Caenorhabditis elegans: one gene and its partner. The protein of the gene in region 1 purifies or fractionates together with the protein of each later gene. This does not show direct contact. Each region holds a gene or a part of one and is shown on either strand. Other genes may lie near its edges.

Region 1 (4,628 bases):
ATTTTTCATTTTTGTAACAAAATTAGTTGAAAGTATCTAATTGACAAATCCTATACTAGATATAATGTCTACCTATCTTAACTTCCAGCCAAAATCATTTAAATTTCAGGAAGAACATTTTTGAAACACAGACACGAAAATTCTCGTTTTGTGCGCTAAATATACAGTACTCCGTCTCGACAAGAATTTTTTGTTAGTTATTGTTAAAATTTATGCTTTACTGAAGTTTTTGATTAGTAGATATATTTTTATCAAACAACTTCAAAGAATCGTTAGAAATTGAACTACAACGAAATTTTTTAATTACAGTACTCTTTAAAGGCGCACAGCATTTCGAATTTAACAAAAATGTATCGTGTCGAGACCGGATACGGTATTGTTCCCTCAAAATTTGAAGTTTTCAAAAGATTTCAGCCTTTCTTAAATATGAATTGAAAAGAAAAAACTCAAAAATGTAATGTTCTAAAATGACAGTAGAGGTATATTTTGCACTGGACATGCAACAGTGCTCCTGATACTCAAATAACGATAAATATCTCAATTCAGACTTTTATATATTGAAAAGAAAAATGAATAAAAATACGATGACAGGAAAATAAGGGGTACAATGAAAGTATTGGGGTATAAATGAATAAATTACAGAAAAAAATGTAGAAAAACGAATCGATTTACAAAATTCCAAGTTCTTTCTTTTGCTTTCTCTTTTGCTTGATAACATCAATATTACGCTCCTTCCATGCCGATTTTCTCAATTTAATCGGTCGATTTCCAACATATTTTCCGTCCATTTCACGCATAGCTCTCACATAATCCTCCGAATCTCTGAATGAAACGAATCCATATCCTTTACTCTTATTTGTTCGTGATTCTCTGACAACTTTGGCTTTTTGGAAACTTGGGTATTTTCGAAAAGCCTTTGCAAGAAGTTCATCCGACACTTCATTTCCCAGATCTCCACAGAAAACTCGAAAATCATTTTCATCCCATTCGGCAAGAGATGGATCTTCCCAAACCTGACCACCACCGGATCTCACAAACTTCTTTTTCGCTTGTTGTTCCTTGATTTTCTTCTTAAATGGATCGGTTTGCTTTTTGAAATTCATCTTATCAATATCTGATTGAAGAGCTTGAGTTCGCAGAAGTTCTTGTGGAATTGCGTTTACTGCAGGTGTTTCATATAATGCTGGAGCACCTTCAATAGTTGCAGGAGCCGGAATTCCGAGTACTCGAGGAGGGAACATTATCTGTAAATTTAATATTCAATTGAGAGTAATATTCACATAACTTCAATTTTTAACTTTTCTCTCAAAAATTTATGGCTTTATTCATAAAATAAGGATATTTTTTAAGTCAACGGAAAATCAAAACTAACCGGTGCAGCTCTTAATTGTGGAGGCATGAAAATTGAAGGTGGAACTGGAGGCATTGTTGGAAGCCTCCCAAGTGCCGGGTTGATAAATGGAGAAACTGCAATTGTGGCAGCTATCGGAATAAACGGAGGCGCTGCCAAAAGTGATGGTTGAATAACTTGAGCACTAGAAGTAGCTGCTGATGACTCGGAAGTAGTTGGTCCTGCCGAAATTGTTGCATTATCGTAGCCAACATGCGTTTGAGAGCTTGCTGGCTCCTCCGAATTGCTACTCGCTTGTTCAAGTTCGGCTAACTCGCTTTCAAATCTAAAATAATATAATTTGTTTGATAATAAATATAGGAAGAATCAACTTACAAAGCCAGTTCATCATCCAAGTTGGCCATTGTTGAAGGGTGAGCGTTTCAGGCTGAAAATAAGTCTAAATATAGTCAGAAAGTACAGAAACTTTGCGACAGATAAATCAAAAAATATTAATATTTAATATTATTATCTTTAACACATAAATGAATACAAATAAAAGGAAAATAGCTTTTGTTTCGAAAAACATTAAAAAATTGATAAAAATATTAAGAGTACGCAAACACCGCATGAAATAAGCCAGAGACGACGCACTTTTGCGTACTCTAAAATTTTTTCTGTTTTCCTATTTATTTTTTTTATCCTCCCAATTTTCACGCTTTACTAGTAGTTTTGTGCTCATAATTGTTTTAAAATTTAAGAAAACACCCTCTGAAGTTCCAAATATTACCTCATCCGCTTTTTCTAACATTTCTTAAGAGATATATTCTGTATCTGCAGAAAATGTCCGGTGAAAATGACGTTGAAATGCATGATGAGGATCCAGTGGAGGATATAGACGAGTCTGAAGAGGAAGTTGATGAAACTGATGATGAAGACGAGGAAGTACCGGAGAATCAGAGACAAGTGAGCTAGAAATTTCGTACAATACTTCTAATTGTTAAAATTGCAGGCTTACATTCCAGGCCTCAGCCGGCCATTGAAAAAAGGAGAAGAATTGGATTTTGACCCTAGTGCTTACAAACTATTTCATAGTTTCAATTCTGGTGATTCAAACGAAATTGTTTCTAAAATATTTATATTTTATGATTTAGATTGGCCATGCTTGTCGTTTGACGTTGTTAAAGATGGTTTGGGCGAGAACAGAACACAATTCCCTGCCGAATGTTATATTGTCAGTGGAACTCAAGCCGATAAGCCAAGGGATAACGAAATCATTGTGATGGGATTGAAGAATCTTACAACGATGAGGGTTAGTCGGTTTCAAACTTTTTTATTATTTACCTGTTATGAAATTGAAATTCCGGCCAACGTTTAGTTTTAAGCTCAGTAACACAATTGTTAAACTAAAAAAAACAAGGATATCTCTACAATAAAAGTGAGTATTTCAGAAAGAAAAAGAAAACAAAGGCGACGACAGTGACACCTCTGAAGACGAATCCGAAGATGAAGATGCCGAAGAAGAGAAGAAAAGAGAACCAAAAATGCACGCTGTTTCGATTCCTCACTATGGTGGTATTAACCGAATTCGTTCCGATCGTCTTGGTGACAGTACTGTATGTGCTTGCTGGAGTGATCAAGGACGTGTCCAGGTGTGGAATATCACTGATGCATTGAATTATACTCATGGAATGAGCGGAGAGTCGAAGACTGAAGTGCAAAAGATCGATCGACCCTTGTTCACGAATAATGGATCTGGAAAAGAAGGATATGGACTTGCTTGGTCTTCATTAAAAACTGGAGACTTGGCTACTGGTGATATCATCAAAAAGATTTATTTGTGGCAAATGAAGGAAGGAGGACAATGGGCTGTTGGAGCTAATCCATTAACTGGACATAAAAGTAATTTATTTAATTTTGATCTGAAAATTCCAAAAATTGAAATGTGTCTCCTGAATGGCGTTTGAGTGGTTTTTTCTTGAATAGATTGGAAAAAAACAAAAATCTGAATTAAAAACTTGTCTTTGTCGCATAAAAATTTTTGAGCATTTTTCAGTACATATTCCAATATTTTTCAGAGAGTGTCGAAGATCTTGCATGGTCACCAACTGAAACTGGACTTCTTGCTTCATGTTCCGCGGATGGAAGTATCAAACTATGGGATACACGTTCTGCTCCAAAAGATGCCTGCGTCTGTACAGTGCAAAAAGCTCATGAATCCGATGTTAATGTTATTTCGTGGAATCGTCACGAAAACCTCATTGTTTCTGGTGGTGATGACGGAGAGCTGAAAATTTGGTCTTTGAAAACAATCCAATTCGGTCAACCAGTGGCACTCTTCAAGTATCACAATTCACCAATCACTTCAGTCGACTGGCATCCACATGAAACAACGACATTTATGGCTTCCGGTGAAGACGATCAGACAACAATTTGGGATATTGCAACTGAAGCAGATGGACAAACGAATATCGAAGGAGTTCCACCACAGCTGATGTTCGTCCATATGGGTCAGAATGAGGTCAAAGAAGTTCACTGGCATCAACAGATTCCTGGATTGGCTATCAACACTTCAATTGATGGATTTAATGTCTTCAAGACTATTAATATTTAAGATGTCTCCCTGTTATTGCTCCCTGTTTGTTTTTGTTGCTGTTTTTCTCATCTATTCAACATTGTTACTGTTCATTTTTTTTCGTAACTTTTCTGTTAACCAAAAAATGCTTTAAAAATGTCGCGTTTTCGTTGAAAAACAAAAAAAAACATTTTATTCTATAGAATCTAAAAAATTAGGGACTGGGAATGTATCACAAAATATAACAAGAAAATTCACCATTTCAAGACTTGAGCAACATTCGTCTCAACGGGCCTATAGTCCGTAAACAGAAGATTACGGTAGTTTTTATCAAGTTTCTCCCATTCCTCTCGAACTTTTATCCAGGTTTCTTCATCATCTTGTCTGGGTAAATCTTCATATAATGCCTCGACTTTAATCAATTTCTCTTCTCTCTCATCCATTGTCTCGTACCGAATCTGACCTCCACCATTTGCACATCCACCCGGACAAGCCATAATTTCCACGTAATCTGTCTTCTCCTTTTTCGTCTTCATTTTTCGAACCAGATTCTGCACATTTCGAAACCCGTAAACCTTGGCAACTCTTAAAAGAATTTCTCCAGCTTCGGATTCTACAGTCGTGGAGAACATGTTCTTGTTTCTGAAAAAATGAAATATTACATTATTTAAAGTTATTTATTCCTACAGTTTTGATGTTTTTACAATTCCTCCTCCATTTTCC
Region 2 (6,876 bases), on another chromosome or scaffold:
CGACAAATTCGGCAAGTCGGCAAGTTGCCGGTTTGCCGATTTGCCGGAAATTTTAAATTCTCGAAAATTGCCGGATTCCAATTTGCCGCAAGTTTTTACAGGGATTTTTCTTAACCTCTGAAATTTCCAAAAATGTGCAAAACCACAATTTGCCGAAAATTTTCGGCAATTGCCGTGTTTCAGGCGAATTCGTCAAATCGACAATTTGTCGGTTTGCCATTTTTCCTGAAATTTTAAATTCAGCAAAATTGCCGATTTGCCGGAAATTTCAATTCCGGCAATTTGCCGATTTGCCGGAAATTTTCAATTCCGGAAGTTTGCCGATTTGCCGGAAATTTTCAATTCCGGCAATTTGCCGATTTGCCAGAAATTTTCAATTCCGGCAATTTGCTGATTTGCCGGAAATTTTCAATTCCGGAAGTTTGCCGATTTGCCGGAAATTTTCAATTCCGGAAATTTGCCGATTTGTCGATTTGCCGGAAATTTTCAATAACGGCAATTTGTCAATTTACCGGATATTTCAATTCCGGCAAATTGCTGATTTTCCTGAAATTTTCAATTCCGGCAAATTGCCGATTTGCCGAAAATTTTCAATTCCTGATTTAAGATTTTAGCTAAAATTCGTCAAATTAAAGTAAAAAAAACCAAAAAAAAAAAACGTTTTTTTTTCAGATTTTCCCAGTACTTCACATTGAGCGCTGGGCTTTTGACGTTGAGCTCATCTTCCTTTGCGAAAGATGGACGGTCCCTGTGAAAGAAGTTTCAGTTCGATGGACTGAAATCGAAGGGTCTAAGATTACTCCAATTTGGTCTTGGCTTCAAATGGGCCGAGATCTTGTGCTCATTTGGTTCAGATATACGGTAAAATTGCAGTTTTTTAGGCCTTTTTTGAAGTGGTGTCAGGATGTCCCATCGCTCTACTGCACACGAAAATGGCGGGAAAATATTTTTTTTTTAATTTGTGACGTCACAGCGTATCTTGAATAATTTTCTTAATTTTAAGCGCCGATTTTTGTCAAACTTAAAAAAAAAATAAATAAATAATATCTTTCTCATTTTAATTTATAAAATTTGATATTTTACCAAAATTCTTAAAATTTAGTGGAAAAATTGAAGCAAAATACACAATAAAAATGAATAATTTCAATTGAAACGAATTTTTTTTTTCGAAAAACCATTTAAACCGTTCATTTACCAAGTTTCCGTGAATTTTTTAAAAATGATTTTCCAAATAAATTTTTGTTTAAATTGAAATTATTCATTTTTATTGTATTTTGCTTCAATTTCTCCACTAAATTTTAGAATTTTTGTAAAATATCAAATTTTATAAATTAAAATGAGCCAGTTTTTAAAAAAATTTCACGAAAATCGGCGCTTAAATTGAACAAAAGCAATTATTCAAAATGCGCTGTGTGACGTCACAAATTTTCAAAAAATATTTTCCCGCCATTTTCGTGTGCGGTAGAGCGACCTGACAATATTTTTGACATTAAAATTTTATTTTCAGATCGGAATTTGGACGGATGACCAGCCTCGCTAAATGCTCCACAAAAAATCGATACGAGATTTTCAAAAAATCTTGCCCAAAAATTTCCTTTTTCTTCTAGTAATATCTATGCTTTAATCACTTTTTTTCCCTGCTTTTTCCTGATTTTTTTTCCAATTTATGGCTGGTTGTAAATATCCATGATTCCTTGAAAATGTGATTCTATTCTTTTTTCTTTTCGCATTTTTATTATTTATTTATTTACTTGTTGGTTTTTCTTTTTTTTCTCTCTTGTTCTGGGGACTCTGGGTTTATTTTTAATGCTAAATTCAAAAAAATATCGATTTAAATGTTTTTTTCCATTTTTTTGTTTTTTTTTTCGTTTTCCCAGCGATTTTATATCTTTCCATAGAGTTTTCAGGCGAAAAAAATCAAAAAATTTCCAGGCAAAAATGGTCAAAAAAGCGGCGGCAACTAGCAAGCAGGCTACCTATCACAGTGATGAGATCGAGATGAAAGAGGAAGTTGTGCTCAATGTAGGATTTTTTGAATATTTCAAGGATGCAATCGCGCTCCATTGGGAAACGAGAGCGCTCCGCCCCCAAACGTTGGGTCTCGTTAGGAAATCAGGCGGCAAAAGCATTTTCCGTATTTTTTTAAAATTTCGTCCAGAAAAATTTTAAAAAATTCCAATTTTTTATTGAAAATCGTTATTTTTCCGAAAAAAATTGTTATACAAATTTACGAAAAAAGGCGGCGATTTATCAACTGCCGGAAATTAGTGAAAGATTACTTTTTTTCAAAAAAAATTGAAAAAATTTAAAATTGTGAGATAAACCAAGAAAAAATTAACTTTCGATTTTTTCAACTTTTTGGAAAAAAAAAACACAAACCAAAGAAAAAATGAACAAAAAAAAAGCGGATTGCGTGTATTTTTCACCACGCGTAACGTCGTTGTCGCGATGTCCTCCGGACCGAAGAGCAAGAAGCTAAAAACGCCCACGCTTGAACAGCAAATCGAAGATGGAGTCAATGCTTATATTCACTCGCAGCAGTTTGAGTTCAACTCTCCACCACGGGAAAATTTTTTTGCCAATTTTTTCGTCTCAAAAAAAAAAGGAAAAAAAAACCAAAAAACCGACATTTCTGGTCAATATTTTTTTTTGTTTTTTTTTTTTGAAGAAATTCGATTTTTTGCTTTTCGGCCGAAATTTTTATTTTTTTAAATTTTCCAAAAATTCTTCTTCAATTCCAGACCTACGACGAATGCACCGATTATGTCGAATACGACGATACAAAACAATTCGATATCAACGAGTATTGCGATCAAATCCAAGTGGCAATGGTCAATGAATCCGACGATGGAATGACATTGGAATTTGATATTACTCGCATTGAAGCTCCAATTGCAAATGCTCTTCGCCGTGTGCTCATCGCCGAAGTGCCAACGATGGCTCTCGAGAAGATTTATCTCTATCAGAATACTTCTGTAATTCAAGATGAAGTACTCTGCCATCGTTTGGGTCTTCTGCCGCTTCGTGTGGATCCACGTGGATTTCAGTTTCCAAAGGAAAAAGTCGTTGGAATCAATGAGAAGGGAGTGGATTGTGACGAGGAGCCCGAGGGAGATCCCGCGAAAAATTTGATCTTCAAGATTAATGTTTCGTGTACGAAGAATCGAAATGCGGTGCCGACGGCTACCGATCCGAAGCAGCTTTATCACAATAGCTCGGTCTACTCACGTGCTTTTGAATGGGTACCGATTGCTGATCAGAAGACGCAATTCACCGAAGAAGCCCATCCACGTATGGTTTCTGATGATATTCTCGTTGCCAAGCTTCGTCCTGGACAGGAAATTGAAGCCAGTTGCCATGCGGTCAAGGGAATCGGACGGGATCATGCAAAGTTCTCACCGGTTGCTACTGCGTCCTATAGGTGTGAATTTTGAAGCTGCTGAAATATTTTCTTTTGATTTTTGCGGTTTTCCGGAAAATTGAAAATTTTTCGTTTTTCGATTTTCTCGGAAAAAGTGAAAAATTGGGGGGAAAAAAATTATAATTCATATAATATATTTTCGGTTTTACGGGACCCCAAATTCTGAGAATGCGTATTACACAAAATTTTTGACGCGCAAAATATCTCGTAGCGAAAACTACAGTAATTCTTTAAATGACTACTGTAGCTTTTAAAGAGTTACTGTAGTTTTCGCTACGAGATATTTTGGGGAAGTTAAATAATTTTTGTACATCTACCTATATTCAGTATATTTAGACTGTTTTCTGTAATTTTGTGGAAAAAAAAGTTCGAAAATTTCAAGCCAGAGGTGAATTTTTTTGTCGACAAATTTGACAAATTGCCAATTTTTTTTTATTTTCGGCAATTTTCATTTTCGGCGATTTGCCGGAAATTTTCATTTTCGGCGATTTGCTGGAAATTTTCATTTTCAGCAATTTGCCGATTTGTCGATTTGCCGGAAATTTTCATTTTCGGCGATTTGCTGGAAATTTTCATTTTCAGCAATTTGCCGATTTGTCGATTTGCCGGAAATTTTCATTTTCGGCGATTTGCTGGAAATTTTCATTTTCAGCAATTTGCCGATTTGTCGATTTGCCGGAAATTTTCTTTTTCGGCAATTTGCCAGTTTGACGATTTGCCGGAAACTTCGATTTCGGTTAATTGCCGGTTTACCGATTTGCCGGAATTTTCATTTTCTGCAATTTGCCGGTTTACCGATTTGCCGGAATTTTCATTTTTGACAAATTGACGATTTGCCGGTTTGCCGGAAATTTTCATAGAATTTGCCTACTTTTCAAAATACATGTAGGAACATTTATAGGATGCGTACAATTTAGCCGATTGAAATTGAAAATCTGAAATTTCCAAAAAAAATGTGCAAAAACACAATTTGCCGGTTTGCCGGTTTGCCAATTTGACCTTCAAATTCTTCCAATTTTTCAAAAAATTTCTTTTCATTCCAGACTGCTTCCAACGATCCGCTTGAACGCCGAAATTTCGGGTGAAGCTGCCGAACGTCTCAAATCAGTATTCAGCGAGGGAGTTATTGCTATCGAGAAGAAAGGAGGTAGATCATAAATCAATTTTTAGGAAACACACCAATTTTTTTAAAATTTCAGCCAAACGAATTGCTGTTGTCAAGGATGCTCGCAAGGATACGTGCAGTCGTAACGTGTTCCGCCACGAAGATCTGTCGAAAGTTGTTCAATTGGGAAAGAACAAACAGCATTTCATTTGTTAGTGGCAGGGCTGAATTCGAAAAAAAAAACTGAAATTCATGAATTTTTCGCATTTTTTTGGTTTTTTTTCCAAAAAAAAATACACGAAAAGTTGTCGAAAAACAAACCCCAATTTTGTTAAAGTTTGAAACCTTATTTTGAAAATTTTAAATATTTTTGCCAAATTTTAACTCTTTTTTTTAATTTTGAGAGTGGTTTTTTTGGAAAATGTATAAGTAATTTTTTTTGGAGCCGGAGTTTTTATATATTTTTTTTCGCTTTTTTTTTCGAAAAAAAAAGAATTTTCGCCAGAAACATGGTACAGACGTGCCGTTTTTCGATTTTTTTTTTGAAAAAATTTTTAAAACGAAAAGTTGAAAAATTGGAAATTGGGAAAAGAAAATTTTTGAGTTTTCGAACTTAAAAAAAACGAAAAAATTTTTAAAAAAAATGTTCAGAAAATTAAAATTGAGCAGAAACTGGGGAAAATTCGAAAAATTCTGAAAAATTCACAAAAAAAACCCATTTTTTCGAACTTTTTTCCGATAAAATTACAAAAATCCTAAATTTTCTACTTTTCAAGGGCCCGAATTTTTGTGGAAAATTAGTAAAAATCGGTTAAAATTAACCATTAAATATGATTTTTTCTAATGGGGTTATTCAAGTAATGTAGCAATTTTTTTTTTTTTTCGCAAAAATTTTTTTACACTTTTTAATTTTCCGACACTACTTGAATAACCCCATAAATCAATTTTATCGAAACTGATGAGAAAAAAAAATTTAACGAAAAAAAAACACAAAATTTCGTCGTCAGAAATTTTTCGATTTTTCCCAAGTTTTCTAATTTTTTTGGTTGAGAAAGTCGATTTTTTTTAAATATAAAAAAAAAACCGAAAAAAACGTAGGAAAAAAGAGGGAAAAACTATAAACTTATTTAAAAATAAATTATATTTCAATGAGAAAAATGAAAATTTCTTCAAAAATACAAAAAAAAACCAAAAAACCATTTAAAAAAATTGCCAAAATTTCAAATTTCTTTTTTTTTAAACTGAAAAAAAAACACACAAAAAATTTTTCACAATTTTTACCGGCAAATTCGGCAAATTGGCAATTTGCCGGTTTGCCGATTTGCCGGAAATTTTGAATTCCGGCAATTTTAGTTTTTTTTTCAGTCAGTGTAGAGTCGACTGGAGCTCTGAAATCGTCTGAATTGGTGGTTGAAGCCTGTAAAGTCATGGAAATCAAGTGTCGTTCTCTTCGCAAACAAATCGAGGCTCTTATTCAATAATCCCCGTTTTTTTGAAATTTTGTTACTATTTTTTTATTCGTTATCCTTTTTTTTTGTTGTTGTTTGACTACCCCTCAAGTTGTTACACTGTTCCGTCACTTTCTTTTTTCTTAATTTGAATGAATTTTCGTGGCTTTTTTACCTTCAAATATCTCCTAGTTGGCCAAATGGTTGAAATTTCCATTTTTTATTTGTTTTTTTTGTAGTTTTTTAACAGGTTCATAGAAAAATCATTCATTTTTTCGGTTTTTTCAGAAAAAAATTATTAAAAAATGGAAAAACTCCAAAATTTTGAGCTATTTTCTCAAAATATTGGAAAACGAATTCTTTTCGATTTTCAGAAAAATTAGAAACAAAACTTTAAAAATCATCAATTTTTGTCTATCCTGATGAAAAAATATAATTTTCTTCAAAAAATTAAAAAAAAAAACCAAAATTTGAATAAAAAATTGTAAAACTAACATTTTCGGTTTTCCGGAAAATCGAAAAAGCGAAAAATCTTTTCTTTGCAGAAAAAAAGAAAAATCAATTTTGTTCTAAAAAATATCCTTTTTCGAAATACTGGAAAAACGGGGCAGTTTTCGAATTTTTTTCAGAAAATTGAAAAAAAAACGATTGTTTTTAGAAAACTAGCAAAAATTCAATATTTTGTCGAATTATATAATTTCTAAAAAATACCAAAATTTTAAGTAATTTTTTTTAAAACAATTTTTTTAATATCGAAAAAATAAAAATTTATTAGATTAGATTTTTTTTCGGAGAGAAAAAAGAAGAAAATTAACAAAAAAAATGGATAAGATTATTTTTCCAAATTTTTTTTATTTTCAGAACAATTTTCAAATAACTTTTGAAAAATAAAAAATTTTCGA

Evidence for each region.
Region 2: the proteins of grwd-1 (region 1) and rpac-40 fractionate together in Caenorhabditis elegans (co-fractionation; one large-scale study listed by BioGRID). This does not show direct contact.

The regions. Positions count from the first base shown.
Region 1 is NC_003281.10:5,151,373-5,156,000, forward strand, and holds grwd-1 (Glutamate-rich WD repeat-containing protein 1), read left to right. Parts: upstream 1-2,091; 5' UTR 2,092-2,173; coding exon 2,174-2,296; intron 2,297-2,342; coding exon 2,343-2,436; intron 2,437-2,484; coding exon 2,485-2,642; intron 2,643-2,781; coding exon 2,782-3,232; intron 3,233-3,408; coding exon 3,409-3,944; 3' UTR 3,945-4,064; downstream 4,065-4,628. Other genes in the region: rbm-42 (RNA-binding protein 42), read right to left, coding at 669-1,244, 1,373-1,676, 1,727-1,755; putative cytosolic Fe-S cluster assembly factor oxy-4, read right to left, coding at 4,160-4,547, 4,593-4,628.
Region 2 is NC_003283.11:4,197,553-4,204,428, forward strand, and holds rpac-40 (DNA-directed RNA polymerases I and III subunit RPAC1), read left to right. Parts: upstream 1-1,932; 5' UTR 1,933-1,938; coding exon 1,939-2,022; intron 2,023-2,741; coding exon 2,742-3,421; intron 3,422-4,464; coding exon 4,465-4,568; intron 4,569-4,620; coding exon 4,621-4,737; intron 4,738-5,891; coding exon 5,892-6,007; 3' UTR 6,008-6,144; downstream 6,145-6,876. Other genes in the region: algn-5 (dolichyl-phosphate beta-glucosyltransferase), read left to right, coding at 673-861, 1,508-1,540.